Linked DNA regions of Arabidopsis thaliana. The protein of the gene in region 4 interacts with the protein of the main gene of each other region in a pairwise test. Each region holds a gene or a part of one and is shown on either strand. Other genes may lie near its edges.

What was found.
Region 1: the proteins of AT5G54580 (region 4) and RCF3 interact in a two-hybrid assay, tested with the Arabidopsis thaliana proteins (one large-scale study listed by BioGRID).
Region 2: the proteins of AT5G54580 (region 4) and AT3G21215 interact in a two-hybrid assay, tested with the Arabidopsis thaliana proteins (one large-scale study listed by BioGRID).
Region 3: the proteins of AT5G54580 (region 4) and AT2G33550 interact in a two-hybrid assay, tested with the Arabidopsis thaliana proteins (one large-scale study listed by BioGRID).

Annotation. Positions count from the first base shown.
Region 1 is NC_003076.8:21,511,181-21,520,062, reverse strand, and holds RCF3 (RNA-binding KH domain-containing protein), read right to left. Parts: upstream 5,168-8,882; 5' UTR 4,709-5,167; coding exon 4,019-4,708; intron 3,778-4,018; coding exon 3,334-3,777; intron 3,246-3,333; coding exon 2,997-3,245; intron 2,911-2,996; coding exon 2,662-2,910; intron 2,461-2,661; coding exon 2,390-2,460; coding exon of another isoform or gene 2,386-2,389; exon of another isoform or gene 2,358-2,385; intron 2,298-2,357; coding exon 2,189-2,297; intron 2,093-2,188; coding exon 1,966-2,092; intron 1,886-1,965; coding exon 1,866-1,885; 3' UTR 1,516-1,865; downstream 1-1,515. Other genes in the region: AT5G53070 (Ribosomal protein L9/RNase H1), read right to left, coding at 1-60, 142-246, 348-458, 802-936, 1,077-1,226; AT5G53050 (alpha/beta-Hydrolases superfamily protein), read left to right, coding at 6,631-6,751, 6,841-7,024, 7,153-7,235, 7,319-7,419, 7,620-7,715, 8,097-8,150, 8,245-8,637. UniProt on the Arabidopsis thaliana protein: Acts as a negative regulator of osmotic stress-induced gene expression. Involved in the regulation of thermotolerance responses under heat stress. Functions as an upstream regulator of heat stress transcription factor (HSF) genes.
Region 2 is NC_003074.8:7,439,078-7,448,377, forward strand, and holds AT3G21215 (RNA-binding (RRM/RBD/RNP motifs) family protein), read right to left. Parts: upstream 6,236-9,300; 5' UTR 6,155-6,235; coding exon 5,984-6,154; intron 5,661-5,983; coding exon 5,481-5,660; intron 5,402-5,480; coding exon 5,326-5,401; intron 5,129-5,325; coding exon 4,999-5,128; intron 4,883-4,998; coding exon 4,768-4,882; intron 4,445-4,767; coding exon 4,353-4,444; intron 4,237-4,352; coding exon 4,167-4,236; intron 4,079-4,166; coding exon 3,996-4,078; coding exon of another isoform or gene 3,959-3,995; exon of another isoform or gene 3,899-3,958; coding exon 3,796-3,898; 3' UTR 2,374-3,795; downstream 1-2,373. Other genes in the region: AT3G21210 (zinc ion binding protein), read right to left, coding at 1-1,001, 1,103-1,679; MKK5 (MAP kinase kinase 5), read left to right, coding at 6,840-7,886; 4CL5 (4-coumarate:CoA ligase 5), read right to left, coding at 9,154-9,273.
Region 3 is NC_003071.7:14,208,493-14,215,631, forward strand, and holds AT2G33550 (Homeodomain-like superfamily protein), read right to left. Parts: upstream 3,202-7,139; 5' UTR 2,996-3,201; coding exon 2,407-2,995; intron 2,319-2,406; coding exon 2,274-2,318; intron 1,999-2,273; coding exon 1,688-1,998; 3' UTR 1,490-1,687; downstream 1-1,489. Other genes in the region: CPL3 (C-terminal domain phosphatase-like 3), read right to left, coding at 1-305; BUBR1 (BUB1-related (BUB1: budding uninhibited by benzymidazol 1)), read right to left, coding at 5,318-5,381, 5,477-5,563, 5,638-5,723, 5,818-5,992, 6,110-6,170, 6,247-6,316, 6,406-6,490, 6,572-6,729 and 2 more. UniProt on the Arabidopsis thaliana protein: Transcriptional repressor that binds DNA and plays a negative role in regulating microbe-associated molecular patterns-(MAMPs, e.g. flg22, elf18, chitin, and LPS) triggered immunity (PTI) by negatively regulating immune gene expression.
Region 4 is NC_003076.8:22,168,082-22,174,964, reverse strand, and holds AT5G54580 (RNA-binding (RRM/RBD/RNP motifs) family protein), read right to left. Parts: upstream 3,800-6,883; 5' UTR 3,634-3,799; coding exon 3,450-3,633; intron 2,808-3,449; coding exon 2,739-2,807; intron 2,637-2,738; coding exon 2,530-2,636; intron 2,420-2,529; coding exon 2,309-2,419; 3' UTR 1,946-2,308; downstream 1-1,945. Other genes in the region: BGLU41 (beta glucosidase 41), read left to right, coding at 4,730-4,876, 4,972-5,041, 5,115-5,173, 5,345-5,420, 5,502-5,661, 5,747-6,002, 6,076-6,191, 6,282-6,505 and 2 more. UniProt on the Arabidopsis thaliana protein: Involved in C-to-U editing of mitochondrial RNA. Functions as minor mitochondrial editing factor. Controls 6 percent of the mitochondrial editing sites.

The DNA.
Region 1 (8,882 bases), 660 kb from region 4:
CAAAGGCGCCGCTAAAACCACATTGTCTGGATCAATCTTCACACAGAGCTGCCTCGCCACCTTCATAAACCGACACAACAACCAATGATTATAAGACCTACTTACAAAACTAGTAGTCACTTAAAAGGAAAGAACACTTGCCTCAGAGACTATCTCTTCCTTTGTGATAGGAGTTTGAACATCAGGTTTGTCGTCTTTTGAGGAGCGGTTTTTGAACTTTTCCTTGTCAACTAACTTCCTCAATACCTGTTAATCAAACAAATAGATCCCATATTTACACCATTTTAAATATTCAACAAGAACAAGAATGCTGAATAGTGCGAATAAAGAGGGTTAGCTAAACTTACCAAATTAGCATTCGCCAGACGCTTTGCAGCCTTTTCATACTCTTTTGTCTGGACTTCAGAAGTTTTATGAACCACCTTAACCTCCTCCTTTACTTCTTCATGATTATACATCTGAATATATTCCCATCAAGAAATCAAACACTTTACCAAGTTAACTGTGATACCATAATGATTATCAGGGAAAGTCAAAACTATCTGCAGTTCCCTTTACATCTGAAGACATTCCCATCACGAAATCAAATTAAAGGAGAAGCCACTAACACTAAACCAAAATAGTTTCAATACCATATCACTATCACATTATGTCAAAAGTATCTGTTTTACCCTTAACATCAAGAACTAAACATCATCAAGATCACAACCTAGATACCACAACAACAAGAGGAGAAAACCACTAGCATTGTACGACCTAATATCAGACTAAATCTATTTTGCAAAATTAAGAGCCTAGTACCTTGCGTTGCTCTCGGATGAGATAAGCATACTTGTCAATGTTAGGCACAGCAAGAAGTTTTGGCATAAGGTGATTCCTGAAGTATCCAGGAGCTACCTTCACAGTCTCACCAGCTTTGCCAAGCTTCTCAATGCCCTAACAAAACCAGATCAGATAAAGATCAAGACAAATCAAAACAAACCCACCATCTGATTTCAATTCAACCCAACGAAATGTGAAGGAAATTTCAAAATCAAACGATAAAAATCATGCCTTTCAGAATCATTAAACCTCACCGTTGTAAGAATAACTTCTAATTTTCTGTATCGAACTCCTTGACAAGCGAAAAGGAGAGGATGATGAATCGCATTTTCATACTTGTGATAAGCTGTTCCTCTCGAGACTACATGCCGAATCACGTTTCTACTTTGCCCAACATAAGCCATTTTCTCGATTCAACAATATTCAGTGCGACAGTCTACAAAGAGAGATTCCACAACAAGGAGTGAGAAAACCCTAGAAAACGACGGATATAAGAGAACAGAGAAAACAAAAAGAGAAGTTAAGGAAGAATCAATCACCAGTGAAGCGGCAATGCTACGACGGTGGAAATGGCGACGGCGGTGCGATGCGACGTCTCTTTTTCACGAACTCGAAGAAAGGTGAAGCCGCAGGTGAGGTTTTAGCAGTGGCTATTTTTGTAAAATACGACTTAAGATTTATCTATGTTTTCACCCTAAACTTTATCTAGGGCAAAAACACCCCAATCTCAATGATGTTAACTCAAGTGAAACGCAGCGTTTAAGTTCTTCCAATATACATAGGGGTGGTGTGAATTAAAGATGAGTCTTTAATGATTAGTCATTCGGATTAAACTTTAATGACTTTTTTAAATAAGTTACAGAACAATGTAAACAAAGAAGACTAATAGACAACATAGAAACCAAAGAGTGATGGTCAAAATGTGGAATGTTCATCTAAACTACTGCTTACTGAAATCCTAATATTCAACAAGTCATACATAACTCCACATTTCTCAGTTTCTTGATCTTCATCTCTGTGTTGACTGATGATCTGGTCCAAGTTCACGGTCCATCCTCTTGTACTGCACCAAACAAGGAACGGAAATCAGACTTATAGATCAGTACAATACGGATATAAAAGTTTGGAAAGAGAGAAACTTACTGCTCAAAATGAAGCCTTGAAGCAAACTCTGAGCTCTCTCTGCTTGCTCGGGTGTACCCGAAATTCGAATGATATTCTGTGTTTCTTCTGGTCTGTCTTCAACTATGGTTACACTAGCTCCAGACCACTGTGATCAAGTGGGAAAGAGATAAGACAAAGCGTCAAAGATTTTGATTAGAGTCATGATTTGCACCAATCTAGTTCCAGTTAAAAAGAGTTCTACCTCACTGATTTGTGCAAGCTTGTTTCTTGATTTCGTAACGAGCTTAGGAACAACCGCCTCTGGTAAGACAACTTCAAGAGTGCTTCTAGTAACAAGTGGTACCGCCATTCTAGAGAAAAAAACAAAAAGCAGGAAGGAAAGGTGTGAAACAAGCACTTGTACGGTTTTGGGAAAATATATCAAATTTGGGAGTTTCTCTACCTGCTTGTCGTGACAGGAACCTCTTCCCGGTGTTCACTTTCACCCGCCTTTGCAACTGATCCGAAACCTTCCTATAAAAACCAAGAGAAAAATATATGTAAATATAGGGACATTGCACGAATGGACAAGAACCATAGACTACTTTCCAAGTATTCAGGTAATTATGCATAGCCTGATAGTAATATTACATTGTTTCGATGGCAAAAATAAGTCTGACCCTAACTGATTACAGATGCCTTTATATTGAAAAGATTGTTGATGAGAACAAAAACCTTAAACTGTGGCAAGATTGTGCTAACTTGCTGCAAGTTCAGATTCGAACTAGTAGGACCTTCACGAGATTGAATTGTGTTATTTGATGAAGCTACCTCCATTACTCCTGCAACACCTTCGAGAGGGCCAGTTGTGGATGTGGAAGCTGGTGGTGTCTCCTTTTGAGAGAGCTCCTTGAACATATGACTCCTCAATAGTAATGTTAATTCAACAAGTGCTTCCCGAGCAGCTCTGATCTCGCCAGTAATCTACATCGACATTCACATAAGAATTCTCTTTTGAGACCAGAAGTTGTTTAGAAAATGCTCGACTCCTCAAAAATAGACAAACATACCTGTATAACAACATCATTGATAGAAGCACATCGGGGAATTTCTTCCCTAGCTAGAATTTGTACGCTTGTTCCAGTTAATCGTGATATCTCAGATACTGATCCTGCTTTCCCTTCCAAACATATAGAGTCTCTAGATGGGACAAGTAATCTTGTTGTTATTAAATTATCTTTATCCGGAATAAGATCTATGATCTGAGTTTGAATGTGCAACAAGGCTTCTTGAGCAGGGAAAAATGGATCATCAGGTGCCTAAGCAAAGTAAGAATACAAAACTTCAAGTTCACAATTGTAAATGTAACAGATAATATTGAAGAAGATCTGAGGGTATTTAGAGTACCTCTTCCGAAGAAATGGTGATTATCTGTTCATCAGATCCAGCAACTGGGTCAGATACTCTAACGTCCACGCCGATCTCGTTCTGAAGCAAATCAATTATTCCTTGCGATTCCCCAACAACCCGAACAATCTTGTCAGCTGGGCAGAGAATCTGGAACACAAGCTCTTCGGAGTAGACATTCTCACCAACTGGAACTGCTGGAGCTTCTTCTGCATAGTTGGACTGGCGAGAACTGAAGTTGTTATTTCTAAAATTACCACGAGGAAACCTATCGGATGATTGTCTTCTTAGCTGTGGCATGTAATCATCCCCCGCAGCTGCAAACGACCGTTCTGGTGAATGTGAACGCCCTTGGAAATTACTCCGATCACGATGCTGACTCTCCCTTAGACGAGATGATACAATGGCTAAAGCGTTTTTCACTGCATTTAGTTCACCTACAATCTGAAAGAACCAACATTATAAATGCATTTCCCATAGGTAGAAAACACCAAAGAAAGCTTAAACATAACAAATAATGACCAAGCTAACTACATAAGAGTGATTCAACTCTTGTCAACAACCTCAACCTCACAATCACACATTTAAATTATCTAGCATTTCAATAAACTGACTACATTTCATATCAAAATCTCAACAAGATTCACCATTTCAAATATGTTCTCAAAATAGCAATTTTTCAGACCTGAACAATCTCTTCAGAGAGTGAAACACAACGAGGTAAGTTACTTTCTCTTGGAAGAATCCGAATATGAGTCTTAGTTTCAATCCTCATCTGCTCAATAATCTTCCCACCTTTACCCAACAAACAACCAACATGCATCCTAGAAACCACTAATCTAGTCACAACTCTCCCTCCACCAGGTCTAACTCCACCGTAATCCTCCTCCTCTTCCGGCGGAGGTCCACCATAACCAAACTGAGCTTCACTCTCCAAAATCCTGTCATGAACACTAAACAAAGCCTCTTGAGCAGGAGAGAAAGACGGCATTCTCCCATCAGGGTCACGCCTACGATTATCAGAAATCTCAATGATACGCTCTGCATCTCCAGGAACTAGCTCGTGCACGTTAATCCACGCGCCGGTGTGTTGCCTTATAGATTTGATAATTGTCCCGGATTTACCAATAACACCTCCTGCTTTAGCGTCGTGACAGAGGATTCGATAAGTCGTTGTTGCCATCGTTTCAGGATGAGACTTCGATGGCCGGCCATTTCCACCTCCACCACCGCCGCCGCCACGGTATCTGTTATTTCCTCCGCCGCCACCACCAAAGTGGTAATTATTGTTGTAGCGAGGTTTAGACCTAGGCATGGAATCTCCGTCATAGTCTTGGTCATAGTGGTAGTTTCTCTTGGATCTAGATCTCTCCATTTGAATAAAATCGCAAACCCAGAAATCAAAGTTCAAATCTTTAACTAGTCATTTATCAATCTCGCAGCAAATTTTTCGAATTCGAGGGTTTTCTGAAGGATTAGAAAGTTCACAAGCCCTAGAAGGAAGTCTACAGTACCCAATTACTTTCCTTTTTACCGGAAATTGAAAAAGGAAGGAACTTTCCGGTCAATTTCACAGGAATACTTGGAGGGAGAATTCAAGAATGTCCAAAATCGATGGAGGCGAATCGGTGCAATGCAAAAATCACCAGCTTTTTGTGTGTTTTGAGGGTTCTTTCCTGTGAATCTAAAAAGCCAAAGCTTTTTGAAGTTTGAGAGTAGAGAGAGACCGTGCAATGGGTGATGTTAGTGGCGTGCGCTAACTACGATATTAGCTACTCCCAAACGTTGTCGTTTTGGTCTCTTGGGAAATTTGGGTATGCTTCATCTTTAAAAACTCGTATTAAGCTAAATAAATTGTTAGACAAATGAATCGTCATCAGATTTTCGCATAGTTATTAGCACTGATGAAGATGAATTTTTGTGCTCACGTAACGTATTAGTAGATACTAAAAATGTATAAATAATTTTTTTCTAATAGGTAAAAATGATATGATTAATACGTAACCAATTAGATGATTTTTCGTGTTATGTACGAGACTAAAACTGTAGACACGTATGTGTTTTTTTCTAATTTAATTTTTAACTATTTATTAACCGCGGTATTATGTAATTAAGTACATATACTAAAACTGTTTTTGGAAAACAAAAAATCCTTTTAATATTTACCAGGTAAAGTATAATTGGTTTAGTGTTAAAGTTTAGCATATGGTAAAAATCATTTGGTGCATCTAAGTATTGCATCCGTTGAATACCATTTTCATCACCAATCCGTAAGGACAAAAAACGATTTACTATCCCTTTTCAGCAATTTAATTTGTATTGCTTCATTGACAAAATTAATTTTTCAAGAGTTTAAAAATAAAGAAACCAAACTCTCATTGCACTTTAAGTCTTTAACTAAATGATCACTTTTGATGAAAAAAAAAACTAAGGATCAGTTCACAAAAACAAGCAATAACAAATTAACAATACAAGAAAATCGTCTCGCACTTATGGTCAAAGACTCAAAGCTTAAGTTGTTGGTGGATCGTTTCGTCTAAATTGTGAGCCTTGACGGGCATAAGTACTTTCCAAATGATAGGTCTTCCCAACAAATATTTTCCGTTTCAGGAGAAGGTATTGCGTTTTCAGGTTGTGCTACGACAAGATGGTGACCTAAACTATATATAATGAAAAAGCAGCCACGAAGTCATGGAGGTTTTATTATCACATGTCCTGGTGAACAATTATCTAGTGTCCAGCATAAAATGTCAGTAACGATCTTGCCTTGTTTTGTGTCTCGATCTGTCTTCTCCTGAAACCACACCAATATAATATAAAGCAACGCGGATCAAAATAGCAAAACATTATAAAGTTCAACAAATTGAACCGGAGATTAAAATAGTGTAGTGACTACTTCAACAAATGGTCTAAGTTGCTATTGTTTTAGGTTAATGCTCCACTTGTGTTCAGACCCATTATCGCTTCTCTTATATATGATGCATATGAATTCCATTGACGTAGTACTACTTCTACTTCTAGCGTTTTTCACGTGCTATATTTCTATACAACATAGTTTTCTCGTGTAAAAAATTTGACCGTTGACCTTTGTTAGATATTACCCGCCAATAAAATCCAGCCGACCAATCCTACGTGGCAGTCCTAACCTCCACCCAAAAAACCGAACCGAACCACACCACAGACCCAATCTCTCTCTCTTCCGATAGAAAAGTCCTTTCCTTTCTTCTCCTCTTCTCCTCTCCGGTTATTCAAAATCTGATCCCACCCAGATATCAGAGTTTGAGAACAAAAAAAGCGATGCCGTTTTGCGAGGTCGTGAAAGAAGATGTCGGCCCAGAGACGACGCTTAACAATGCCGCAATCAAAATCTTCTACAGAACGTACGGTCATGGTCCTATCAAAGCTCTTCTCATCATAGGTCTGTTGTAATCTCCATCTTTCCCATTTGATTAGTTTCCTTAGCAATTCCGAGCTTGATTTCAATTGGGTTTTTCTAATTTTGTTCAGGTTTAGCCGGAACCCATGAGTCATGGGGTCCTCAAATCATGGGATTGACGGGAACGGATAAACCCAACGACGATGATGACGACGACGGAGGAATTGTTTCCGATGATTCCGGCATCGAGGTTTGCGCTTTCGATAATCGTGGTATGGGTCGAAGCTCTGTGCCTACCCACAAATCTGAGTACACGTGAGCCAATTTCATTACTGAAGAACTTAAAATTCTCTGCTTTGTGTTCTTAATCTCGGTTTTAACAATTTCCTGTGAAATTGGTTTTGTTAGCTTCTTCACTCAATTTGGGTTTTGTTTTGGTACAGAACAACGATAATGGCAAATGATTCAATTAGTTTGTTGGATCATTTGGGTTGGAAGAAAGCTCACATAATTGGTCATTCTATGGGTAATATGTTTGATCACTCAAGTGACTATTGATTGTTTTTCTGAGCCAAATTATTTAGTCTCTCTTGGCTTTTTGATTAACAGGAGCAATGATAGCTTGCAAGTTAGCTGCAATGGCGCCTGAACGGGTTCTTTCTTTGGCGTTGCTTAATGTTACAGGTGGAGGTTTTGAATGCTTCCCTAAGGTACTTGAATGATATACGTGGCGTTGTTGTTGAATCTTCTTTCTTTGGTAGCAATGACTTGTTCATACGTGTATATCGGTTGGTTTCTTATCATGAAGACAAACTATTGTTTTCTTATTTGTCATGATTTGTCACAAGGTGATGTTTCACTTGGATACAAAATTCTGAGTACCATGCACTGTTGTTTTTATGTGCTTCAGCTTGACCGGAAATCGCTTTCCATTGCGATACGTTTTCTGAAAGCAAAGACCCCTGAACAAAGGGCAGCTGTTGATTTGGACACACATTATTCAAAGGTGGGGACTTTCAGTTTGCTCTTCGATGTACTGAAATACTAAGAACAAAATTGGCTTAGAACTATAGTTAATAGAGCAACGACTGGAGTTTGAAATATGGCATGCATTTGTTGAATCTGTGTTTCATTTGAAACTTTCGTTCTATATTGCAAAGTTTGGTGCTGTTTTCTCTATTCGGTTATAACAAAGTTGGTAGAGAAATCAAGTCATTGGTCTTGAAGATTTATGTTCTTTAGAATTGGTTGAGACTTGAGAGATCAACTCATTGGTCTTGAAGAATTATGGTAGTAGAGTAATTTGGTAACAAAATCTAAGGCTGGCGTATTACTGTCCAGATGAAACTTGTGAGTGATTATGTTCTCATGCTGTTTATATATGCAGGATTACCTAGAAGAATCTGTAGGAACTAATACAAGACGGGCAATTTTATATCAGGTGGGTTTACTGGTTATTATGCGAAGAAAATGACATATAAGCATATCACTAGTGAACGATTTAAGGTGACTTATATTTGAGTGATGCAATACAGCAATATGTAAAAGGAATATCAGAAACTGGAATGCAGTCCAAGTACGGGTTTGATGGCCAAATTAACGCTTGTTGGTTACACAAAATCACAAAAGTAGAGATTGAACTAATCCGCTCGGCTGGATTTCTTGTCTCAGTCATTCATGGAAGGTACGGAACACCAAAGAAATTAGAATCAAAGTCACCTTGTGCACTCAGTCTTGAGTTTGTTGATCTTGTAAAGCATCTTTACCTTTACACAGTAGTTAATGTGAGAATGTGTTGGGTTATATGCAGACATGATGTGATTGCTCAGATATGTTACGCAAGAAGACTGGCACAGAGGCTATATCCAGTCGCTAGAATGGTGGATCTTCATGGAGGTCATCTTGTAAGCCACGAGAGAACAGAAGAGGTACTTCTGTCTTATTTAGCTAGGTCTTAACTTCTCTGTCTCTCTTGCGTCTGATGAATGTAAGACTTAATAACTAAAGTCTTTGTCGCTCTTTAATCTCATCCAACCTGCAGTAAATGTTAATGAATGTCATACTCAGATTACTGTAACTTAACAGGAACAATATAAGACCGAAAGAGAATCAGACTATTCTGAAAATAAGAATAAGTTGACTATGAATATGATGAACTGATTTAATCGTATAT
Region 2 (9,300 bases), on a different chromosome or scaffold from region 4:
GTTGGTATCCTCGTCCAGTCTCATATGATGACTTTTGTGACGAAAATATTCTATAATTCCATCACTTATCTCATTGAACGACTTAAAAATATATAGAGATTCATCTTCTTCTGGTTCTCCCTCAAGTTCTTTTCCGTCCCATACATCTTTTCGCGTTGCACATTTAGAATGAACCGCGAAACTGCAACCCTTTACGCAAGAATATCTTGCAAAATTTGTGTCTATGCTTTCACGACACACTCCACATAACCATTGTTCAGGAGTAAGTGAAGAATTGAAGGAGAGACGATGTTCATGACGTGATATTTTTATGATGCATGGAAAATAGACACACTCTTTATGGACTACAAAATTACACTTGACACAGGAATACAGCAAAGACCTGCCATCACTCAACCCACAAACGTCACAAATCAAGGAGCCTTTCCTTTGAAAGTAGAAGAGTGTATGCTCATGCCTTTTTGGATAGTCTATTGCAAAGAGTGGTGGCTCTCTAGCACAATCTTGACACATGGTAAAATTGCATATAGAGCAATGGTAAGCAAAATCCTTAAAAGTTGAACAAGATAAGCATATCTGACCTGATTCATAACGAAATCGGAGAGCATGTTTAGGATGATATGGGTGCTTTGATATCGGCTCGATACAGGCTTCGTGGTAGTAGCCTGAAGAGCGTGATAATACTGAAGATTGAAGAGGGGAACATGAAGGACGGAGACATAACGTGCAGGAATAAAACGTGGTACCGAGTAATGACTTGGAGCATATTTCACATTGTTTGTTAGGTCTATGGCCTTTAATGAAGCCCTTGCCATGTCTGTCGTAGTAGTATTTGCGTGTTATGTTAAAGTCGTTGCCCAAAACTAAGGAGGTGAGGTGAAAAGATGGAGATGAAAGATTTGGTGGCTCTCGGAATTGCATCGCGCGAAAATCTTCTTCATTGTTAGTAAAATATGCACGAGGGCAAAAGAGAAGAGGCTGCTTTGACACCGAATCCATGGCTAAGACGGAAAAAAAAAAAAAAAAAGGAGGACATGAAATTTTTTATGATGGATAGATAGAGTGCTTTGCAAGTAAATATGAAAACCACAAGGAAAGAAACCTTTGATGTGTTGATGATGAACAGAAGCAGTCAGAGCAGTCTTAGCCTTATCTATCTCTTCGTCATCATCCGTACGTGATTTGAAAGTTACAATAGGCGCTGCCCGAGTACCTTCAACACTGCCAGGACCATCAGGGTATCTAACCACAACGACTTGACAAACACAGTGGTGAACACAGAAATCACTAACAGAGCCATCACCAAATCCCATAATCAGAGCAGTGAGATTGAGCCGTTGAGTCTCAAGACAAAGCCTCTCTCTCTTATCGTAATCTTTGACTGTATGAATCGTGTGAGGGAATCCAGCTTCCTTCAATGGCTTCCCGAGATCCGCTACTTTGGAGAAAATAGAAGCGGTGGTGTAAGGAGGTTGAGTTTGGAGAGGGTAATATCCCCAATCGGCTCCAAAGAGACCGGCGGTTGGAGAGACGTGTAGAATAATGATGTCGTCTCCCTGACGGATGTAGTTATCAACAGCCCAACGAACAGTGAAGGCACTTTCTTCAGAGAGCTCCACGGCGATTCCAATCTTACGTTGACGAGGAGATGAAGGATGATCGGATTCTGGATTCATCATTTCTTCTTCTTGCTTCCACAAACTTCCGATTTTTTTCTTAGGGTTTTTAAATTATGTGTTATGCAGCATTGCTAATTATGGGATAATGAGGTTTATATTTATGGGTTTTGTGCAAATGTTTCTTTGCTTGTAAAAAATTATACTTTGGTTAATGCGTTTGTTATCCCTTGCATTTTTGTCAGGTTTCCTTAGCTTCTCGACAAGGAAAATGCTACATCGTTTTCTTTTAAAAAAAGCAAAATAGTAGTCTCTGTCTTGCTTGATGAGAAAATAAACAAACAATTTGTCTTTGACATGCACGTTGAAAGTTTTCCTCTAAAAACACGTAAACGTATTTGGGCCTAATTCAGAAAGGCCTAAAATGGGCTGAGAACGAGTATGGGGACGGCGTATATCCGTCTCAAAGAACCATTCAAAGCTGAAACAATCAATCGCGACAAGGTTCACTTCTCCCTCTCCAAAATGGTCCGATGGAAAGCCTCAGAAACCAGGCACGTTACTCACGATTCTCCTCCCTCTCCGTGCGTTTGTTCCACCAATTTGATCGACATCTCTACCTTTTGCTTGATGATCTTTACTTGAACAACTTGAAGAGGGGTTTCAATCTTTTACCTCTCAGTTCCGTTTTATATTTTTTTTCTTCTTTTTATTAACCTCCCAACTCTTTATCTTGTTTTTCTTGACAGTTCTGCGCTCAGACACACCTGACGTTTAAGAATTTTCTTTTAAGACCATGGTTTTGTGGTTTTAGATGTTTTGCTTCTCTGGAAAGTTGGTCTAAGGAATGCACAAACCCTTTTGTGCAACAAATCTTTTTCTTTGTTGTCTACAGTGATGAAAGCTTGAGACTCGCCAATCATAATAATGAAAACATGTTTCTTACTTGAGAGTTGAGACACTCCTTTATCGATTCTTCTTGGGTTGTCTCTTGGGTTAATTATATTACCTACCTCTCTTTACAGCAAATTTACCATGGTTCGAATTCAGAGAAACAAAACATGAAACTAGGCCCTAGAGATCCTATACCTCAAAATCTGATAAGTAAGCGACCAATTATACACACATTGTTCTTGAAAATGGAAGAGAAACTTTCTCATTTGAAGAATCACTAAATTCGCTTCTGGTTTTCACATCCAGAGTCAAGTAGCCCAAAGCCGTACAGAAACATCAGTTAGAAAAGAGATAAGTTGGATTGGATAAGTAGACTCCATTGTAAAAAGATAGGCTCTTAGGAACTCCTGGCTCTGTTCCTGGACGTCCGAAGATGACCTTACCTCAACTTTGTAGGTGAAACGCATCTCTATTCGAGAGCTTGGGCTTTCTCTTTACGGATTGTCCCTGCATAAGGCCAAGCCAGAGCTGGGAATGTATATATGTTTGCTCAACTATAATAAACCTACAATGTAATGGAATGCCTATCTTCAAATGTTATATCAGCTGTCAACTTCTGACAAAACGGATGTGCTTGTTCATCAGCCTAAGTAAGAACAGAGAATGATCGACATGGGAAATGCTGAAGAATGAAACCGATGTGATAGATCATGAGAGTAATATTCCATGTCTATGCAGTGAAACGAAGTTGATCAAACCCCTCTGGATGTTATCATGTTATGATCTAATGTAATGGTATATCAGCTAACATAGCAAATGGAGTTTCGTTAGGATGAATCAATCATGAGAGCAACATTCCGTGTCCATGCAGTGAAACGAAGTTGATGGAAGGCCTCCGGATGTTATCATGTTATGATCTAATGTAATGTTATGTTTTTTCCTAGCTAACGTTTCATTAGGATGAATCGATCAGAATGATGAAAATGAATCCCACAAAGTGATGTATTAAAGCCGCAATAAGATAAACAAATAGCAAACCAAACTCCTATATAATTCAAACAATCATCAAAAACCACACTGCGAATGCATGTAGCAGAGCTAATAGAAACTGAAACATGTTATATGTTGATGAGGTCACACTATATGCACCCAACACATGACAAAGCAATGCTGATGCTTAAAAATGTCGAGAATGGAAATGGATGAAATGCAGACTGCCTGGAAGATGCATCGTATTCGTGCAGTTGTTGGGAGATAAGGAAGAGAGTACGTCCCCCTTCAAGGCCTACTGATATGTCAGGGCTCCTTGGGCTCCATTAGCACTCGGAGAAGGAAAGAAAGAATAGCCGCCACCTTCCTTTCTCTTCCCATATGGATTCTTTGAATATGTATCATTGGGTTAAGAAGAATCAAACAGAAAAGAAAAAAGAACTTGGCATACTGGAATATTAAATAATCAGAAAGAGTAAAAGTATATAAGGATATTGGATCCTCATGCCAATTGAACCAGAACTTGGAATGACAGCACCTTGCAAATTATGGTGAACATTTGTGGCACTATTGACATCCTGCAAGTCCAGATAGAAGAATTTAACAATATGCTAGAAGAATATTTTCTGTCACATATACACAGATGGTGAAGGTCTCAGAGTTAACCTCGAATTCAATAAAGCAAACTGTATGCCTTTCTTGTCTCAGAATCTTCATTTGTTTGAAACCAGGTTGCCTGCAAAATGAAAGTACAGTTTACCGCAGAATTCTTGAGAACACAGGTCTACAAAAAGGCCAAGATCTCAAGGAAAGCAATGGACAGGAGTCTCACTAAAGGGAACAGATACTCACGCACTCAACAGGCTCCTCAATTCTTCTTCGTTTATATTCTCCCCAAGATTACCAATAAATAGGGTATTGCAAGGTGGATTATCCTTAATATTCTGCAATTGAAAAAAATTTGAAAACAACATGAGACATATATCAGATCACCAAACCTAGGCTAGATATTCATCAAACTAGGTACAAAATTTATCAAACAATCAGAAACTTTAGCAAATTCAGAGCAGTAGACAATGCATTTAAATTAGGCAACAACTATTGTTCCACAACACAACCACCAGAGAGTATAGCATGTAAGCTAATTAGAATGAAGTTCGAGATTGTAATTTTTAGGCAAGGAGAGGCAAGTACAATATGGATTCCGGGTATATAATTGCACAACCACCATATGATAAATAAAATGATGAAAACAGTGCAACTTCACCTGGACAGGCACATAAGAACTAGGAGCTGCTATAGGTGGGGGCGTAGGCATTGGTACAGGGGGAGCATGATAACCTGCATAGGGATCATATGGTGGAGGTGCAGGTGCCATATATCTGAACCAATTTATCTTCTTGTCAAATAAGCAACTTAACATAAAACGGTGTACCAAATACACATCGTCCAATTTCTACACAGCATATGAAATATGAAGGAGAAGCAAATGCCTAACCCATGAGGAGGTCCCCACACAGGAGGAGGTGGAGGATGGAAAGGAGATGGACTATACACAGAGTGTGTGCAGTCACCACCAGTTCGTAGGCGCTTACTTTGATCATAAGCATTTGAATCCCCAACAATACCTACAGAATAAAGATTGAGTTCAAAGGTTATATATGGTTTGTGATATTAACAAAGGAAGTAAGAAACTAGATAAAGGGGAGAGTGTAGTGAGACCCCGTATAAATGCACAAAACTGTATCAAACATGCTTCAGTAACATGACTAATGCTTAAGATAGATAAAATACAGCCATTTTATGTCATAAAGGTAGAGCTAACCTCTTTTAACAAAAAGATTCTTCTTGGCCATCTCTGTATGTATCACAGACTTTGACTCAGCATCAAACACCATATGCTGCATGCCAAGAACAACATATGTCATAATGTGAAGACAAAAAAGGATCTGAGTCAACAATGATCAGAAGCAGACAGACCTGAAGGGTATCTTTGGCTGCCATTGCAAACTGAGCTGTGGAGAAAAGAGCAAACCCCATGGGCTTTTCTCCCTTGAAGTTCACCTGAGAAGCCTCGTAACCAGGCAACCATCTCAAGAGATTCAAAAGCTCTCTCTCTTTTACATCATCGGGAAGCCCTGCGATGAAGATTGTCCGCAGCTGAACAACAGATTCAAACTTGTGTAAGAGATCACGTTTTCCCAAAATCAGAAAACTCCAACTACATGACAAGATAAGAGAACCTTTCTCACTTATGCAACAGGTCATAAGTGAGATTTTAGTAACAAACTTAAAAATCATTCTTATCAAAAAGGTCATAACTTTGGACAATTTATCGATTCCGTAGCAAAATCAAGCTAACATTGTATATCAAAAAGCAGGCAAATTAAAACCTCAACGTAAACAAAAATCAAGCAAGCCCATCTCGACAACACAGCACAAGAATCACCGATATGTATAGAGAGAAAGAGAAAGAGTTGAACCTCGTCATAAGGAGGACGATTATGGTTGTCAACTAAAACAGGAGGAGGAGGAGGATGGTGATGAATGGGCGGCGGATGTGGTGGAGCAGCTGATGATACTGCGGCTGGAGGAGGCGGCGCACCTGCCGGCGGCCACTGCTGGTGGTATGGGTGGATTCCGGCGCCGGCCATGAGATAAAAAAAAAACCTAATTACTCAGAGAGTCAGAGATTGATTGTTCGAAAAAACTTCTGCGGAAGAATTGACGGCAAAGAAGGCAAACTTATTTTTTAAGTCACATGCATCGCACGTGAACACTGTACCACTTTAATTTTATTTCTTTCTTTTTCTGTTAAAAACTTTAAAAAGAAAATTAGTTTTTAATTTTTTTAGAATTATAATTACTTTAAGTTTTTCTTTTTTCAATTGTTTTTATTGGAAAGAAACTTTAATCTGTATTTTCTTACTTTCTAAAAATATTAAATACCTAACACCAAATTTATAGTATCTAAATCCACGATCTTAAACACTCTTAATGATATTATAATCCAATTCAGACCCGACCAAACAAAAAACATGGTTAACGTGTAACAACACAGAGCCACACAAGTGCGAGTGTATTCCACGCTCTTTCCATCAACGCGTACCTTCGTCTTACCATTTTAACTTTTTTTTTTTTTCTTGTTTCTTACAATCATTTTCACAAATCTCTTCGATGAAGCTTCATTCTCCTCTTGATTTGATCTCTTTGAAAAACGACGAATCAAACAAACCCTAGAGTCAAGTCAATCATGATGATAAATACAAACCTGGAAGATAAAGAATCAACCTTGTGAAAAAAAAAAAAAACTTTTGATTCCCTCTTCTTCTAAAAGCCATGAAACCGATTCAATCTCCTTCTGGAGTAGCTTCACCTATGAAGAACCGTTTACGCAAACGTCCTGACCTAAGCTTACCACTCCCACACCGCGACGTCGCTCTCGCCGTACCTCTCCCTCTCCCACCTCCTTCTTCCTCTTCATCCGCTCCGGCGTCTTCCTCCGCGATCTCAACCAACATCTCCGCCGCTAAAAGCTTATCCGAGCTAGAACGAGTGAACCGAATCGGAAGCGGAGCCGGAGGAACGGTTTACAAAGTAATCCACACTCCGACGTCACGTCCTTTCGCTCTCAAAGTGATTTACGGAAACCACGAAGATACCGTGAGACGTCAGATCTGTAGAGAGATCGAGATCTTAAGAAGTGTTGATCATCCAAACGTTGTGAAATGTCACGATATGTTTGATCATAACGGTGAGATCCAGGTTTTGCTTGAGTTTATGGATCAAGGATCTCTTGAAGGAGCTCATATATGGCAAGAACAGGAATTAGCTGATCTCTCTCGTCAGATTCTTAGTGGATTAGCTTATCTTCATCGTCGTCATATCGTTCATCGTGATATCAAACCTTCGAATCTTCTTATAAACTCAGCTAAAAATGTGAAAATTGCTGATTTTGGTGTGAGTAGGATCTTGGCACAAACAATGGATCCTTGTAATTCATCTGTTGGTACTATTGCTTATATGAGTCCTGAGAGGATTAATACTGATTTGAATCATGGTCGTTACGATGGTTATGCTGGAGATGTTTGGAGTTTAGGTGTTAGTATCTTGGAGTTTTACTTGGGGAGGTTTCCTTTTGCTGTGAGTAGACAAGGTGATTGGGCTAGTCTTATGTGTGCTATTTGTATGTCTCAGCCACCTGAAGCTCCGGCTACGGCGTCTCAGGAGTTTCGTCACTTTGTTTCTTGTTGTTTACAGAGTGATCCTCCTAAGAGATGGTCAGCTCAACAGCTTTTGCAGCATCCTTTCATACTTAAAGCTACCGGTGGTCCTAATCTCCGTCAAATGTTGCCGCCGCCTCGTCCTCTTCCTTCTGCCTCTTAGTGTTTCTACCATTTTCGTCTTTCTTGTTTTTCAATTTTTCGTAGTTTTTCCTGACATTTTTCCATAAGTTTTGCATACCCCAAGCAAAGATAATGAGAAGAGTAGAAGAACAATGTGGTTTGTGATTGGGGTATGAGTCGTCAGGAAGAAACTCAGTTTGTGGTTAGGGTTTATTGAGTCTTTATCTTATGCTGCTAAGCTTGATTTGTCTTATGGGTAATGAAGAATGTTTTGCTAGAAATGGAAACAAAAAAATAGACAAGAAGAATTCTTATGGTTTAAGAGTGATTTTAGCTGGATTTGCTTATATTATTGTTTATATAAGGAAGTAAATGGAGGATCTTTCATTGGATAATTCTCATTAATAAAGCTTCTTCCTTTAATTCTCTTTATGGTTTTCTAGTTTCCGTCTTGTGAACATTACAAAGGCTACCCTAGTGCCTACTGCGTTATTTTTTCTTTGCCAGTTATGGTCTAATTATTGCGGTAAAAGTTGAAAGCTTGTTTAGGAACTTTTGTTTGAACGAAATCATGTGATGCTCTTGCAATTGGTCAAATTCAGAAAGCTTTCATTTGGTTCCATCTTTGAGCATGCATCATGCATGTAAACATCAGCTATTCACCTTGTTTCTGCTTCTCGTTCTCTCTCTCTCTCTCTCTCTCTCTCTCCCAATGGTTTTGTGTTCAGTATCCGTCAAATTGCCTTGATGTTTTAGTGTGATTAGGAATGTAACTCTCAACTGTCCAGGTCAGATTCTAGGTTCTTCAGCATCTACTCAAAAAAGTCTACCTTATGGCTAGGAATCTAGCTCTCAAGTGTCCTATTGGTCTTGACTTCTAACCACATTAGACCTTTCCGCTGGGCGGCTGGGCCACGTCTTTCTCTGCAGGTTTGCTGAAGTTTGTGCTGATTGATTCACCTGAATACTTGAAGCATTCAGCTTGCAGAGGAGGATAACTTTGAGTGTGTGTCCCAGTACATAAGTCTACCCAGCGTAATCACTTCTCATTGTCGCTTTTGTGGGTATGTTTCTGTTCCTTAATTCTCTAAATTTATAATTCTTCTTAAGAAAATAGTGAAATGATGATTATAGGAAATGAATTTATGTTTCTGAGGGTAGCTTAGCTTTAGGTTTCCTAGATTTGTTGACTTTACATGATTGATCTCGTGAAAACCAAATCAAATACCAAATACTTGCTTCTTACTCCTTACTTCTTAGAGACTATAATGTTCGAATTTACACATACATTTGAAACTCTCTTGTGTCTATTTAGAGCACATGGTTTCCAATTTAGCTCGCAGATCCTTCCTCAGAATCTTGCCCGAAACTGCTTTTGGTATAACTTCTATGAAAAACACCATCTTAATCCGCTTGTAGTGAACCACCTATATAAACCATCACACCATTGATTT
Region 3 (7,139 bases), on a different chromosome or scaffold from region 4:
TTAGATAAACCCGAATTCGCATATGGACGGTAAGCAGGATACTGAGAAATCAACTCCTCCATTGTCCAAACCCTAGAGTTGCCATTAGAACCACCACCACCTCCTCCTCTTCCTCCAGCCACAACCCCAACATCGACGTCTCCGCCAACATCGGCCGTAGTAGTAGTACTCTTGTGCTTAACTTCAATCTCAGTGTTGACAGAATCAGGAATCTCACCTTCCTCAACATCCACCATTACCATCAAGTTTTCATCGTTGCCCATTCGAATTAGGGTTCTAGAACAACCAGATCGAGCTACAAGCATGTAAAAATCTCAAAACTTTGCTCAAAAACGAATCCAAACCCGATTCAGAAACAAAAACCTTGAATTCGAAAATCGCCCACTTTAGTCCCCGGTCCAGAGAAGAGATCTCCAAAACAGAAAAAATTAGGGTTCTTCTCTAATTTAAACGATTCAAAAAACAGAGATTCAAGTTAAGGAAATGTTTTGTCAATTTAACTCTTTTTTTTTCAAAGATTCACAATTTCGAAAATTCCCAATTCGAGATCTACCACCACCTTTGAGAGAACAAGAGAGTTTTCAAATTTTCTTCTCCAGATCCAAATTTTGAGATGCTTATTATTTTCTCCGAAGGCCGAAACTTGAAGAGAATGTGAAATATAGACGAAGGGAGAGAGAGAGAAGAAGAAGGAGAATCTAGTTGAGAGAAGGAGTTTAATCTAGACCGTACACGTCAGCGATCCGAACGAGGTAAATTATGTCAGCGCGACGTGTGATTGGCGCCAGATGAGGGGTATTTTAAATGACGAAAGTAGACATCTCTGTGAATTTTCTTTACTAGTTTTGTGTCTGATGATCCAAAGTTTTTGACTCGAAAAGTTTGTCAGTTAACTTACCTCTATGGAAGTCGAAGTTCGTACATAAATTTCAGTGGTCAAATATGTCGTGCGGCTTTTATGAAACTGTTGCTTGTCTTTTTATTATAACTGACGAAAAAAACAAATTTGGACTGGAATTATGTGCATAACAACTATTTTGTGAAAGATAATCCAAAGTAATATGGGAACTTATTTGATATTTTGCATCACTGAGTTTTGGTATTAGTACAACTTTTGGTTTCAAATTCAAGCTCACGATAATATGTTAAATATAGTTCATGTTGCACTACAATCCAGACAAAAAAATTGGTTCGAGTTAGATACGGTTTCAATTTAATTTCTATAGATTATAAAAGAAGAAGTTAAAATACAGAAATTGTTTTCAAAGTAGCTATCAGATTACCAAACAACATAAAGTGGCAGATCTTCAATCTGCATATACCAAAGTCATTTTCTAACCAATTGAGTAACTATTTGTATATGTTCAAGGGTCATATGACTACGTATACCATTTAATATTATGTTATTAATCCTGTTGTTAGGGGAAGCAAGAAAGATGAAAACTCAATTTCATGCTATGCAACAAATCATCAACACATCAAGATGTTCAAATCAGTCAAAAGGTAACACTAAGGCAAATGATATCCTAAACCCGTATAAATCTCAATGTTTATATAAGATGTGTATAATAACCTCTTGTGGTGGCATCAATATTCAATCAACAATGGTGATAAATGATTGAAAAAAAAGGAAGAAGAAGAATGAGAAGTAATGGCCAAAGTGATATACAACTAACTTTTACTAAATCTACATCTTATCCGCGATTTTTGCCACAGCATCAGCGAGCTTATTGAGAACAGCGACTAAGCTATCACCGTGATCTTTTCTTTGCTCTCTGTCTAGTTTTAAGTTTAAATTCTGAACCTCAAGCTGTGCCGCCAACAACTGCCCGTTTCTTTCTAGTATCTCTATCAACTGATTCTGCATCTTCTTTGTTTCTCCTTCTTCTTCTTCCTCTTCCTTTTCACCAAAAGATGTCCGTTTACGCTTCCTCTCTTCTTGTGATGTCGATCCACCTTCCACGTTTGCTGCTTCTGGCTGTTTCTCTTTCACTCTACCTTCAAGTTCAAACTCAACATTTTAGTATAAAAACAAGAACATAGAGACCCTTCAACATAAACGAAAAGATCACACACCATAGGGAAGATTGTTAAACTACTTTTATAACACAATTTGAGATGCATTTTAGAATACGAAAACATCATTTATCTACATGACAACATAACTACATAGTCAAGACTCAAGAGAAACACACTCTAGAGCTCTAAAACTAGTTTGAGATTAGCATATAGAGCAATAGATCAAGCAAATACACACAGAGAGATAAACAAACCTTGATCTGCTACACAAGCTTCTTGCTTCTCTTTGTCTATAACATCTTCATCAAAAAAATTGAACTTCATAAGAAATGGAATCATTCTGATGAACATACAAAATAAAAACTTAAACTTTGATCTGAATTTTACCAGTAACTGATTTAGCCACCGGAGTAGAATTCAACTTCTCAGGACTTTCTCTCCGATCTAAATCAGACAACAATCCCTCGTCTGACGCCGGAGCCAATCCAAGCGAAAGAACCGGAACCGCCGGAGGAATCACACCACCGTCAACAATATCATAAACCTCCTTATCGAAAAAACCAGGAAGCTTCTTCTCTCTACGAACATCATTCCTCATAACCCAATAGGACTCAGTCTCTTCCTTAATCTGAGACTCCCATTCTTTAATCTTCTTATAATCTCCGGCGAGATTGCTCCATCTTTTCCGGCACTGAACCGGCCCACGATTTACACCGTGACGTTTACAGTAAGACGAAACAGAAGCCCATTTAGGCTCCATTTGACCCGACCCGAGAGCCATACCCGCCGCTCTCCCTCGCCGGACTCTGTTCTCCGCCACTCTCTTCCCTTGAATCAGAACCAGAATCTCTTGTCTCGTCCAACGAGGAAGTCTCGCCGTCTTAACGCCGTCATCTCCACCGTCATTTGACGGCGCGCTACTGTTCTCTCCACCGTCAACGGCGCTCACTCCTAATCCTAACTGTTCCAGAGCCATTCAAACGGAATATTCCTTCCCGTTTTGATAATTCCGTTCAAACGGGTTCCAGACTTAACGGCGTTATGGTGAGGACATCCCGTTAGCGCCGGAGAGAGAGAGGAGCTACAAATGAAAGAGCAAAGAAAAGATTTATTTTGTGAGATAATGACTTTTTAATGTATCTTAATCTGATTTTTAATTTGGTGACTGTAGATAAAATTGACCCTTGTGTTATCATTTTATTTTAATTTCGTCCCTTAAGCCTTTCATAAGGTTCATGTAGATATGTTGAATTTAAGTAGACCGTAATCTTTAATTCCTTTAGACCGTAATTAGGGATTACATGCTTGATATGGCTATTTCCTGATTTTTTTGACACATCACTTTCATCACCTCATTTTCTACGGCCAAGATCACTCTAAAAATAAAATCAAAAATTATCTTTTTCTTATATTAATAATAAACTGTATTTATTGTTTATGTAATAAAGATAATGCACATATAATTTTCATATTTGGTAATATTATGATATGGTTGTGTGTAAATATGGAGGGGGCGTAGATTATGGCAATAAACGCGCCCTTTGAGTATTTCTATTGGTTAATTTCTCTCCAACTACCATAAGTTGCTTTTACTCCATAATCCTTATATATGCGTTTTGGTCAATTTCCTCCGCCATTTATTTTTTTGGATTTTTCTACGTTTTTGTCAGCTTAAGATAATGACAATATTAGTGAGTCTCTGCTTTAATAACCTAGTGATCTTTAAGAGCCCTCAGGGTTTTTGGGAGTTCCATTACAAAAAATGCTATAAACATTGTAGAAGTTTTCAACAGTCACATATCATAATTAGTAACAGTACCCTAAATCATTTAAATGATTAAATGGGTTTTGGGACCCTTTTTGTAAACTATTTTTTGTTGCAATAAACTCTGAAACTATCTTTTGTTGGCATAATTCTGAGCCTACTTAAATGTATAAACAAATCGTAGCTAACCGTTCCTTAAAACAATGTAGACAATAAGACAACATCATTATGAAAAAGCAAATGAATGACGAGAGAAGCATGAGGAAAGCTTGCTGACGAGTAGAGATAGATATATCAATATATTCACTTTTGAGGGTTTAAAAATAAGAAAAAAAATCATGATAAAAAAAAGTTTGTTGTTTAAGGTTTGTAAGAAGAAAAGAAAAACAGAGATATCACTACTACATGTTAAGGTTTATGATTTTTGACAAGTAGAAAGAGAAACTCTAGAGCTCTAGAACTATAGAGCAAAGTTTTCTATGAAATAGATCAAATCCAAAATGGAGATATGATTTATGAAACACACATGACTAAGGGTAAACATGTATAAATCAAATCAAGATTAAACCATAATGTTCTTTGAGATGGAGAAAGAGAACCAATGCCAATGTTTTGTTCAAGCTTGCTAGTAAGAGGACATGAAACTAAAGCCAATAAAATAAAAACCAAGAGACATCGATACCGTAAATACCATTTCTGTTTGAATATAGAATTTCATCTTACGCATAGAATTTGTTTTTTGTTTTATTAGAAATCTTGACTCAGTCGTATAAATGTTTAGCTACGTACTTAATGCAATACTTTGCATTAAAGGGAACCCTTAAAACCCCTAAAGGGTAGATTGTGAAATGAAATGATGCCCCTACCACTAACACCAAATAAAATTCCCAAGTTTTTTTTTTCATTTGCCCTTGTTTACCACTCAAAGTCTATCTCCAAAATCGCATCATTCGTTTTTAATCATTAATTTAAATGGCTATTAATGCTTGATTATGTTTTATGCCCCCTCCCATCCGTTTAAAGCCACTTTATTTTCTATGGAAGAAATGCCCAATGGATTGATTATCTTTTCTAGTTTGTACCCATCCATACGTATCCATTGATTTACAATGAAACTCTAGAATTTTTCTAAAACAAAGGTACGCTAGTTGCCTAGACGACTAGACCAAAAAATTATTGGGATCACAAAGTCACTTGCCATATAAACCAATGACTTGGCCACATTTAGGGCATTATTAAAATGATTCCTTAAGTTTAATCATAAGTGGTAATCTAGGTTAATTAGTGGAAATTGATATAAAGTTTTTTTTTGTAGAATGATTACTTTAGGAGAAACAAATCATATAAGGATTGAAACAAGACAAGTCACATTAATTTCAAAACATGAAAGGCACATCATGGTACATAGTAGGATAGTATATCCCAGTACATCACAAAAACAAATCCAAATAGGCAAAAACACACAAGGAGCTTTATAGACAAAAGCTCAAATCTCAAACCATAAGATCGTGTAGAGAAGAAAGTCCAATATCATCATCGTAGGAAGCTGTTGGGTGGGAAATGTCTTAAAGGGTTCTGTCGTAGCAGCTCTGTTTCTCTGCATTTTTTTAAGTAACCATTGTTAGATCTCTACCAAGTCATGATATAATATTTGTTTGGTGAATGAATCTTTAGGGGAATTTTTTTGCTTACTTTTTTATCTCACGGCCGCCATTAAGGGGCAGAACGTTTGATGATGATGAGATAGTTTCATCATTCTTCTTCTTTTCTTCTTCCTCTCTGCATTTCAGAATCATGTTAATGGTGGAAACATGTTTTGTTCAGAAAACTTCTGAAAAATTAGTCAAACTTACTCTGTACATTCTTCTTCATCGACAAAAACCTCAAAGGTGGAAGCAGATGCTGCTGCAACAGTTCTCACAATGGGTTTCTGAGGAACCTGTGACAATAAATATAAATGCAGTTAGTGATCAATTTATAGAGATAGTATGAGCCAAGTGAGATAGTTTTGTTTAGGAGGGTAGAGGGAAAACCTTGAATGATGCCCATTTTCTAGGTAAAGAATTGTTTTCTTTGTTCCTCTCTGCTCTGCCTCCAAGCATGAGCCAACTACCAAACTCTGGTCTTGACTTGTCTGACTCTGGTTGATTCCCTGATGTGGTGTCTGAAACTGCATCTGCGTAGATAGCAAAAGGTGTCTTGGATGATCTGCAAAAGACAAAGTTGCTTACCATAGTGAGTTGCAGAATAATTTAAAGGTATGAGTTGATAGAAAATGCAGATAATGAAAACAACGAGAAATATAGAACCAATCAAACTACTTACTGATTTGGCTTTAGCTTTTTGGCTTGTGGGTTAGAACTTCCTAACGCCTGCCTTCTTGCATCTACAGAAAACATTTTCATGTAAGATAGCTTACCAAAACATTTCAGTGGTTTCCAAGTTAAGTTAATGTGACTCACTATTATCTCCCCTGGACAATAAAGTGCCAAAGCTTCTTGACGGTAAGTCATTATTCTCCTTTGGTTCCTGCTGGTAGGTAGAACATTAATTATGATTAGGAAAAACCTTAGTCCATAATGAATAGATATAAAGTGTTACAAAGAGACAAAACTTTTTACTTCATCAGCTGTGTTGGACCTTCTCATCGTTCTCACCATAAACTTCTTGTACGCGTCATTCAACTTTTCCACTGGCTTTGCATCCCTGCACAAGTTCCCACTTTCAAATCAGACCAATAACTTGGAGCCGAAACATGAAAGTAAGATTACATATCTGTTCATTTACCTAGAGATTCCAAGATTGAAGATCTCATTAGCAGTTTTGACCTTATTCTTAAACTCAATGTGCAAAGCATAAGCTATATAGTAGACAGCATGTGTCTTTCCAATCTCATTGACCTCCAAAAACTTGTAAATCACTTCCGCATCAGCGCAATGCTCCGCCTTCAAAACACACACAAAAACTATGAGTACTCTCTCCATAACAAAGAAAGAATCATCTAGAGGGTTTAATTAAAGATAGAATCATTACATATTCCAACCAGACTTTAAGATAACGAAGATCATCCTTGTAACGTTCAGAGTGCCAAAATTTACGAACACATTGCTCATATATCACTAACAGTCCTGAACATTCTCCTCCTGGTGGAAAAGCCTCTTGTACCCATTTTATACACCTTCCAAAGAAACCAATTAAGAAGCTCAGTTTACAAATTGGTCACAGCATAAAGATTGGTTCAAGAAAAATTTCAATTTTTCAACAACCCAATCAAGAATGATAAAAGGAACTCACTCTATCCATGGAGATAAAGGGTCATCTCCTTCATACTCATCAATGGCTTCAATCAAATTCC
Region 4 (6,883 bases):
ATGATGGTCGTTCATGTTTTTCACTTTGATTCATCTGCTTTACATCATTAGATGGTCAAATACATGTATAATAAAAAAATTAAATCTTTATTTTTCTTCAGATTTGGATTTGGAAAAGAAAAATTGGGTTATCTGTCTATTCTCTCTAATTTGGTTTGGATCGGTTTAGCGTATAGACAAATAACCCAATTTATCCTTTTGTTACATGGTGGCTTATCAATCTTAATGAATCGGATATTGAGTGAACTATATAGACATAGTTATAATATTACTATCTAAAATCAATATCACTATCATTTTTTCCTTTTGGGACTAACTTCCATATTGTTTTTATTTTCTAAGTACGTAAAATGATATGATGTTACTTATATCTGCATGTGCTTATATTATACGTGGCAATGAGAAAACCTTATAATAAATGAATGTAGGAAGAACTATAATAGAAACTCATGTAGATAAGAACTATATTAAATATAGATCAGATCAGGCTCATATCTCCTAACGATATAAAAAATGAAACGGTCCAAACTTAATTCATGAAACGTGTAATTAAACAGCTTCATTTTAAAACCATAATTCAACCGTAGAGAACGACTCATCTAAAATGCTTTCACATTTGAAAGTAATCACTCATGCGGCGCAACAAAAACGACGATGAGTCATCTCAGGAGCGGATCTAGAAGGTAATTTTATGTGGGGCATCATTTATATAAATAGTATTAATTATAATTTAATTACCTAAATTGTATGTAGATTATAAAATATTCTTACAAAAGTGACGGTTTGGAGATTCGAACTTGGGTTAGTATAAGGCATTGCTTGCCGAAAAACCATTTGAGCTAACTGTAATATAATGAAAAATAACAACTTATATAATATTTAGTAGATTTAATATGGGGCACGTGCTCCACCTAGTTGTAACGTAGGTCCGCCACTGAGTCATCTTGTTAAATTTTGTTTTTACTAATTTAAAACAATAAAAATATTCATGCCCTCATTTTCTCATTAATACCACGACTTTATAGTTTATAGTTTATATATTAGTAATGATATTAATCAGTTTGTTATGTTGCTACTTGCTAGGTGTCATGGGTCATCATAAAATATATTGATGGAAGATTGATTGATTTGAATCTATAAACCTAACCCACACGATCGAATCGAATGAGAAATAACAAGAATCGTCCATCGAAAAGAACTTAATCAGAAACGTTATCCGATTAGAAACATTACCATTTGATTAGTTTATGCAGTTAAGTTTGACTTGTGCCCACTCCACAAACTTGGAAACAAGAAACATTTGTACACGTTGCGGTCGACATTTGTAATTACAACTAACTTTTCATTGCGTCTAAGGATTATAGATCACAATCAAAACAACAAAACCTATCACTATTACCATTATAAGCTAAGAACACTCCAAAAATGGGTACCGTTATGATTTTGGAGTAATATGATGAGTTGTGAAATACAAATCTGGTTGCATGAGAAAGAGGGAATTGTCTCACCAAACGTAATTGGACAGCGAAGGAATGTTATTGTATGAACGGTATCTCTTTGTATGTTTTGTTTCCTTTTTTGTCTTTATAACATTTAGTGCATAAATTTATGTAAGCCATTAGTATTTGGGATGATATTTCTTTTTGTTTTTGTTCGGTCCACATGTTGTAGTATACAAAAATGTTCGTAGAGATTCTAGACAGCTCCACGTGAAATTGTGAGAACTCAATGCTGTGGCCCAATGACTTATTCCCATTTGTTATAATCATCACTTTTAATGTTAAGTAGTTGCATCTAAACGAAAATTGTGAGTTATTGATTGGCTAATGGCTACGGACCCATTGGGTTTTTGAAAATGATCATCTAGATTGGTGGTGCCTAAAAAATTTTGGTTCACAAAATGAAATCGTAGCAAAACAAAACTCGAAGCATATATACTGAAAGATTTTAAAGTCGACCAAAAATCAACAACACTAAAACCGGATCTGAATTTCTCAGAACCCGATCAATCTCATTACATACCGGTCCAATCAATTAAATCACAAACAACAAAACGATGACGTTTTAAGTATTTCCGAGTTAACCATGTAAGCAAAATCCTCTTCCTCTTAAAAAACTATTACACTTAATACTTTGGTTTTGTAAATGACAGTTTCTGATTATTCCTTCAAAATATAATTTGAAGTTTTTAATCTTCTAAAGGTAATAACACGAGACGAAGCACAACACAGTTCGATCATAGAAGAGGATAGAATGAAGCATAAATATGAATATAAAAGATTCATAAGAACCGAAGAAAACTGTTTCTCTAGCGGTTACCATAGTATGGAGGACGAGACATGTTGTTCTGAGGTTGATATGACTGTGATTGCTCTCTCGGTCTTGCATACTCTGCGAATATGACCCAACCGTCAAGAAACTGCAGAGAAGCACAGAGAGGAGATTAGCCGTTTGGTAATTGTCAGTGTAAATCTCTCTTAATAGATTATGATATGGTAATCGAGAAATGGATATTAGAATGAATAGTACCTTCCCGTCCATTCCAGCTATGCCTTTGGCAGAATCTTCTAAAGTGGCATATCTAACAAATCCAAACCCTTTGGAATATCCTGATACTCTGTCTGTGACAACCTTAGCTACAAAACCAATAGAAGAGAAAGGAATCATAACAGTTAGTTTTCTTCACGATGACTAGTTTACTGCGCATAAACTTTATAGTGTCGTTATAAGATACGCACCATCAGCAACTTCTCCAAACTGAGCAAAAGCAGTCCTTAGTCCTTCAGAAGTGGTGCGCTTACTAAGCCCTGAAATATTCAGTGACACAAAGATAAAGATAACATGAGAAGAAGACACTTTCACGAAACTGAGACACAGCATCGAACACATAAAATTCCTTAGATGTATGTATGAGATGTTCAATGGCCATGTGATAAAAGTGAGAAACAGAGGCTATGAAGGAACAATAAGTAATAGCCTAATCAAAATTGCTTGCATCAAAGCCCAATGTTGAGCAGTATTTCAAAAACTAATTGATACTAGGAAGCACTTTACAAAAACAGAAGCCTTGAAGATGTTAGAAACAGCCCACATAGACCCTTGAAACAAGACACTGATCCGGTACACATAGCATCCAAATTTTAACCGAAAAAACCGAATTCTCAAGTAATTGAGTGCAAAGAAACTCTCTTTAACTCTTACAGTTCATTCCTAGAGTTAAGCAATCGAAAGTAGACATTTTTCTGGAAATCAGAACCAAAAATGAATAATTGAACTTATCAAATTCTTAAACACATAGAGTACAATCTTAGTTGATGTTAGACGAACCTGATAATCTAAATCTGAATTCAAAAAGGAAGGATCTTTAAAAAGCATCAAATAGAAACAGACATAGACTCTAACAACGATAAACCCTCGAAATGAATTGAGAGATGAAAAGGGTTTGTTACCGGAGACGAAGAGATTGGTGCTAGGTTCAGCCTGAGGACGAGCCGGTGTTTGGGATTCAGCTTGTGGAGACAAAAAAGAGAACCTTGAAGCATTTGAACAGAACAGTCGTCTCAAACCAACCGGAGCTGAAGCTACTTCCGTCACAGCTCTAGATATCGCTGGAAGTCTCATAGCCATCGCCATAGATTCAATTGATTGATTTGAGTCGTATTGATTCTTCTTCGGGAAAAAAAGGTTTTAACTTTGAAAAGCTAAAACCCTAAACCAAAAAAGCAGAGAACAAACAAAATCGATTGATACGAAAACGAGTAATTTACTAGAGTGAGAAGATGACCTAAAAAAAAAAAATACTGACATAAAATGACGGATATACCCTTGTATTACTTCAAAATTTCGGAATGGATGGACTAGTGATAGAAACTTTACAATTCTGATATTCGTAATTAATGGAATTCGCCAATGTGCAGCTCCAATTTTCGATTTTTTTTCATTGGCACGTAGAAACGTTTATGAGTCTTTAAATGGTTACCAAATTGTTTTTTGGACTATCACACAAAATACTTCAATATTTTATGAAATTTGACATAAAATTTCACTAAATGACCATTTTATTTTTTTAATGGCCACTTAAAATTTGTTTTGATTCTTCTAAAAATCCACCAAATGACCAGACGTCTTTTAAAATCTCTCAAAATCTAAAATCCACAAAATCTTACCTAAGTTCAATACACCCCTTTTTTTTTGTGATAAGTGTAAACACACAAAAAATAACATATATAAATGGATATGGATGCTAACATAAAAGTTCACATTATATTTATATATTAATTTATTAACTCATCTCAAAATAAAGTACATAATATATTATTCAATCTATGAATTTAATTTGATTATCATGTAATTTGGGGTTACAAATAACAAGACTATCAAGAAGAATATCTTTAAAAAAAAGACATAGGTAGTTAGGTGAATCAGTGTCACTCAGTAACAAACTTTTTTTTTATCTTAAGAGAGTAAACAACTTTAAAAAGTTTTTGGCACAAGTATAAGAAACGTGTGCAGTAAAAGTAGAGAGAACAAATGTCAAAACCAAAGAAAAGCCTTCAAAAGACGTGAGCTTTTGTTTTGCACTCTTCCTCTTTCTTCTTCAACTTTACAAATTAAAAACACACACACACCAAAACTCCATTTTCTTGCCTCCAAATCTTTCATTCACCATAAAATTCCATCCCCTTATCTCTCTCTTTCTCTCACTTTCTCTATTCATGCGACCCAAAAAATGGAATCTTTAATGAGACTCGTCTTAGTTCTGTTTCCGTTCTTCGTCGTCTTCTTCGTACCTCTTGATCACGTTTCTTCAGAATCTATCAGCAGAGCAAATTTTCCAGATGGATTTGTATTCGGAACAGCTTCTTCAGCTTACCAGGTGACATTCTTCTTCTTCTTCATCTTCTCCAAACTGATCCAACAAAGAAAGAACGAAGATTTTGACAATCGCAACATTTTCTTGCAAGAAATCAGTTCGAAGGAGCTGTGAAAGAAGGAAACAAAGGAGAAAGCATATGGGACACTTTCACGAAGGAGAAACCAGGTATCAAAGAAACAAACCCAGAAAACATCACGAAGGTTTTAGTTAACTCAATGGTATCGTTCTTGATCAACAGGAAAGATACTGGATTTCAGCAATGCGGATACTACGGTTGATCAATATCATAGGTTTCACGTAAGTTTTACCTAACAATTACAAATTTGTTGACTTAAGCTTGAAGATAAAAGTAGGGTTGCTTCTTGACAGAGCAACCTCATCCAAACAAATCTAAGATAAGACGCAACAGGACACAAATGAGAGAATCTAAGAAGCAAGAGCCTTTCTTTTGTTTTGTTGCTATCACAGAATGACATAGACCTGATGAAAGATCTGAGAATGGATGCTTACAGATTCTCTATATCTTGGTCAAGAATATTCCCTAGTAAGTCTATTTCATTCAGCTGTGATATGATGAGTAATGTTGTGCGTTTCGACGGGTCTATTTAAACTCTGGTTTTAACAGATGGAACAGGGGAAGTAAACCCAGATGGAGTTAAGTACTATAACAGCCTAATAGATGCTCTTTTAGCCAAAGGAATCAAACCTTATGTGACATTGTATCACTGGGATCTCCCACAAGCCTTAGAAGACAGATATGAAGGATGGCTAAGCAGAGAAGTGGTGTGAGTATATGATATTTTGATAAAAATGTGAAATCCTGATATGGTGAGATTATTACGAAATTAAAAAGCTAAATAAATGGTGCAGGGATGATTTTGAGCATTATGCATTCACCTGTTTCAAAGCATTTGGAGATAGAGTGAAGTACTGGATCACTTTCAATGAGCCTCATGGGGTATCGATCCAAGGCTATGACACAGGGATACAAGCTCCAGGAAGGTGCTCACTTCTGGGACATTGGTTCTGTAAGAAGGGGAAGTCATCGGTCGAACCGTATATTGTAGCTCATAACATTCTGTTGTCTCATGCTGCTGCTTACCATACCTACCAAAGAAACTTTAAGGTAAGAAAACAAAACAGAACAATCTTATGATTCTAAGTGCAGAATAAAATGTGGGAAATTTTCTATATGCAAGGAGAAACAACGTGGTCAAATCGGGATATCATTAGATGCAAAATGGTATGAGCCAATGTCTGATTGTGATGAGGACAAAGATGCAGCTCGTAGAGCAATGGATTTTGGGCTTGGATGGTAAATATAAGATCCCTTTATCTGAAAATTTGCATAGAAAAGTCTACAGAGAGAAAAGACCAAAGTAACAGAATGAGATTTAAAAAATAGGTTTATGGATCCTCTAATCAATGGAGACTATCCAGCTTCAATGAAGAGTCTAGTGGAAGAGAGACTACCTAAGATAACACCAGAGATGTATAAAACCATAAAAGGGGCATTTGATTACGTGGGAATCAACCACTACACCACATTATACGCGAGGAATGACAGAACTAGGATAAGGAAACTGATTCTACAAGATGCTTCTTCTGATTCAGCCGTGATTACAAGCTGTAAGAAACAACACCTTATCTCATATCATTCTCATTACCGCTACAAAACTAAAAGAATTAAGCTAATGTATGGTCCTAATTGTTATAGCTTTTCGTGGAGGAGTAGCTATAGGAGAAAGAGTATGTAATTTCTCTGATAGAAACAGAAGACTAATCCTTAACTGGCACTCCAAAGAAATTTACTTGATGAGAAACAACTTACTTGAAACAGGCAGGGTCAAGCTGGCTACACATTGTCCCATGGGGAATCAGGAAACTGGCAGTGTATGTTAAAGACATATATGGAAACCCACCTGTATTCATCACAGAAAACGGTAAGCATTCTCAAATACCAAAATGTATATTCTCACAACCATCAATCAAATTTTTAACATGGAG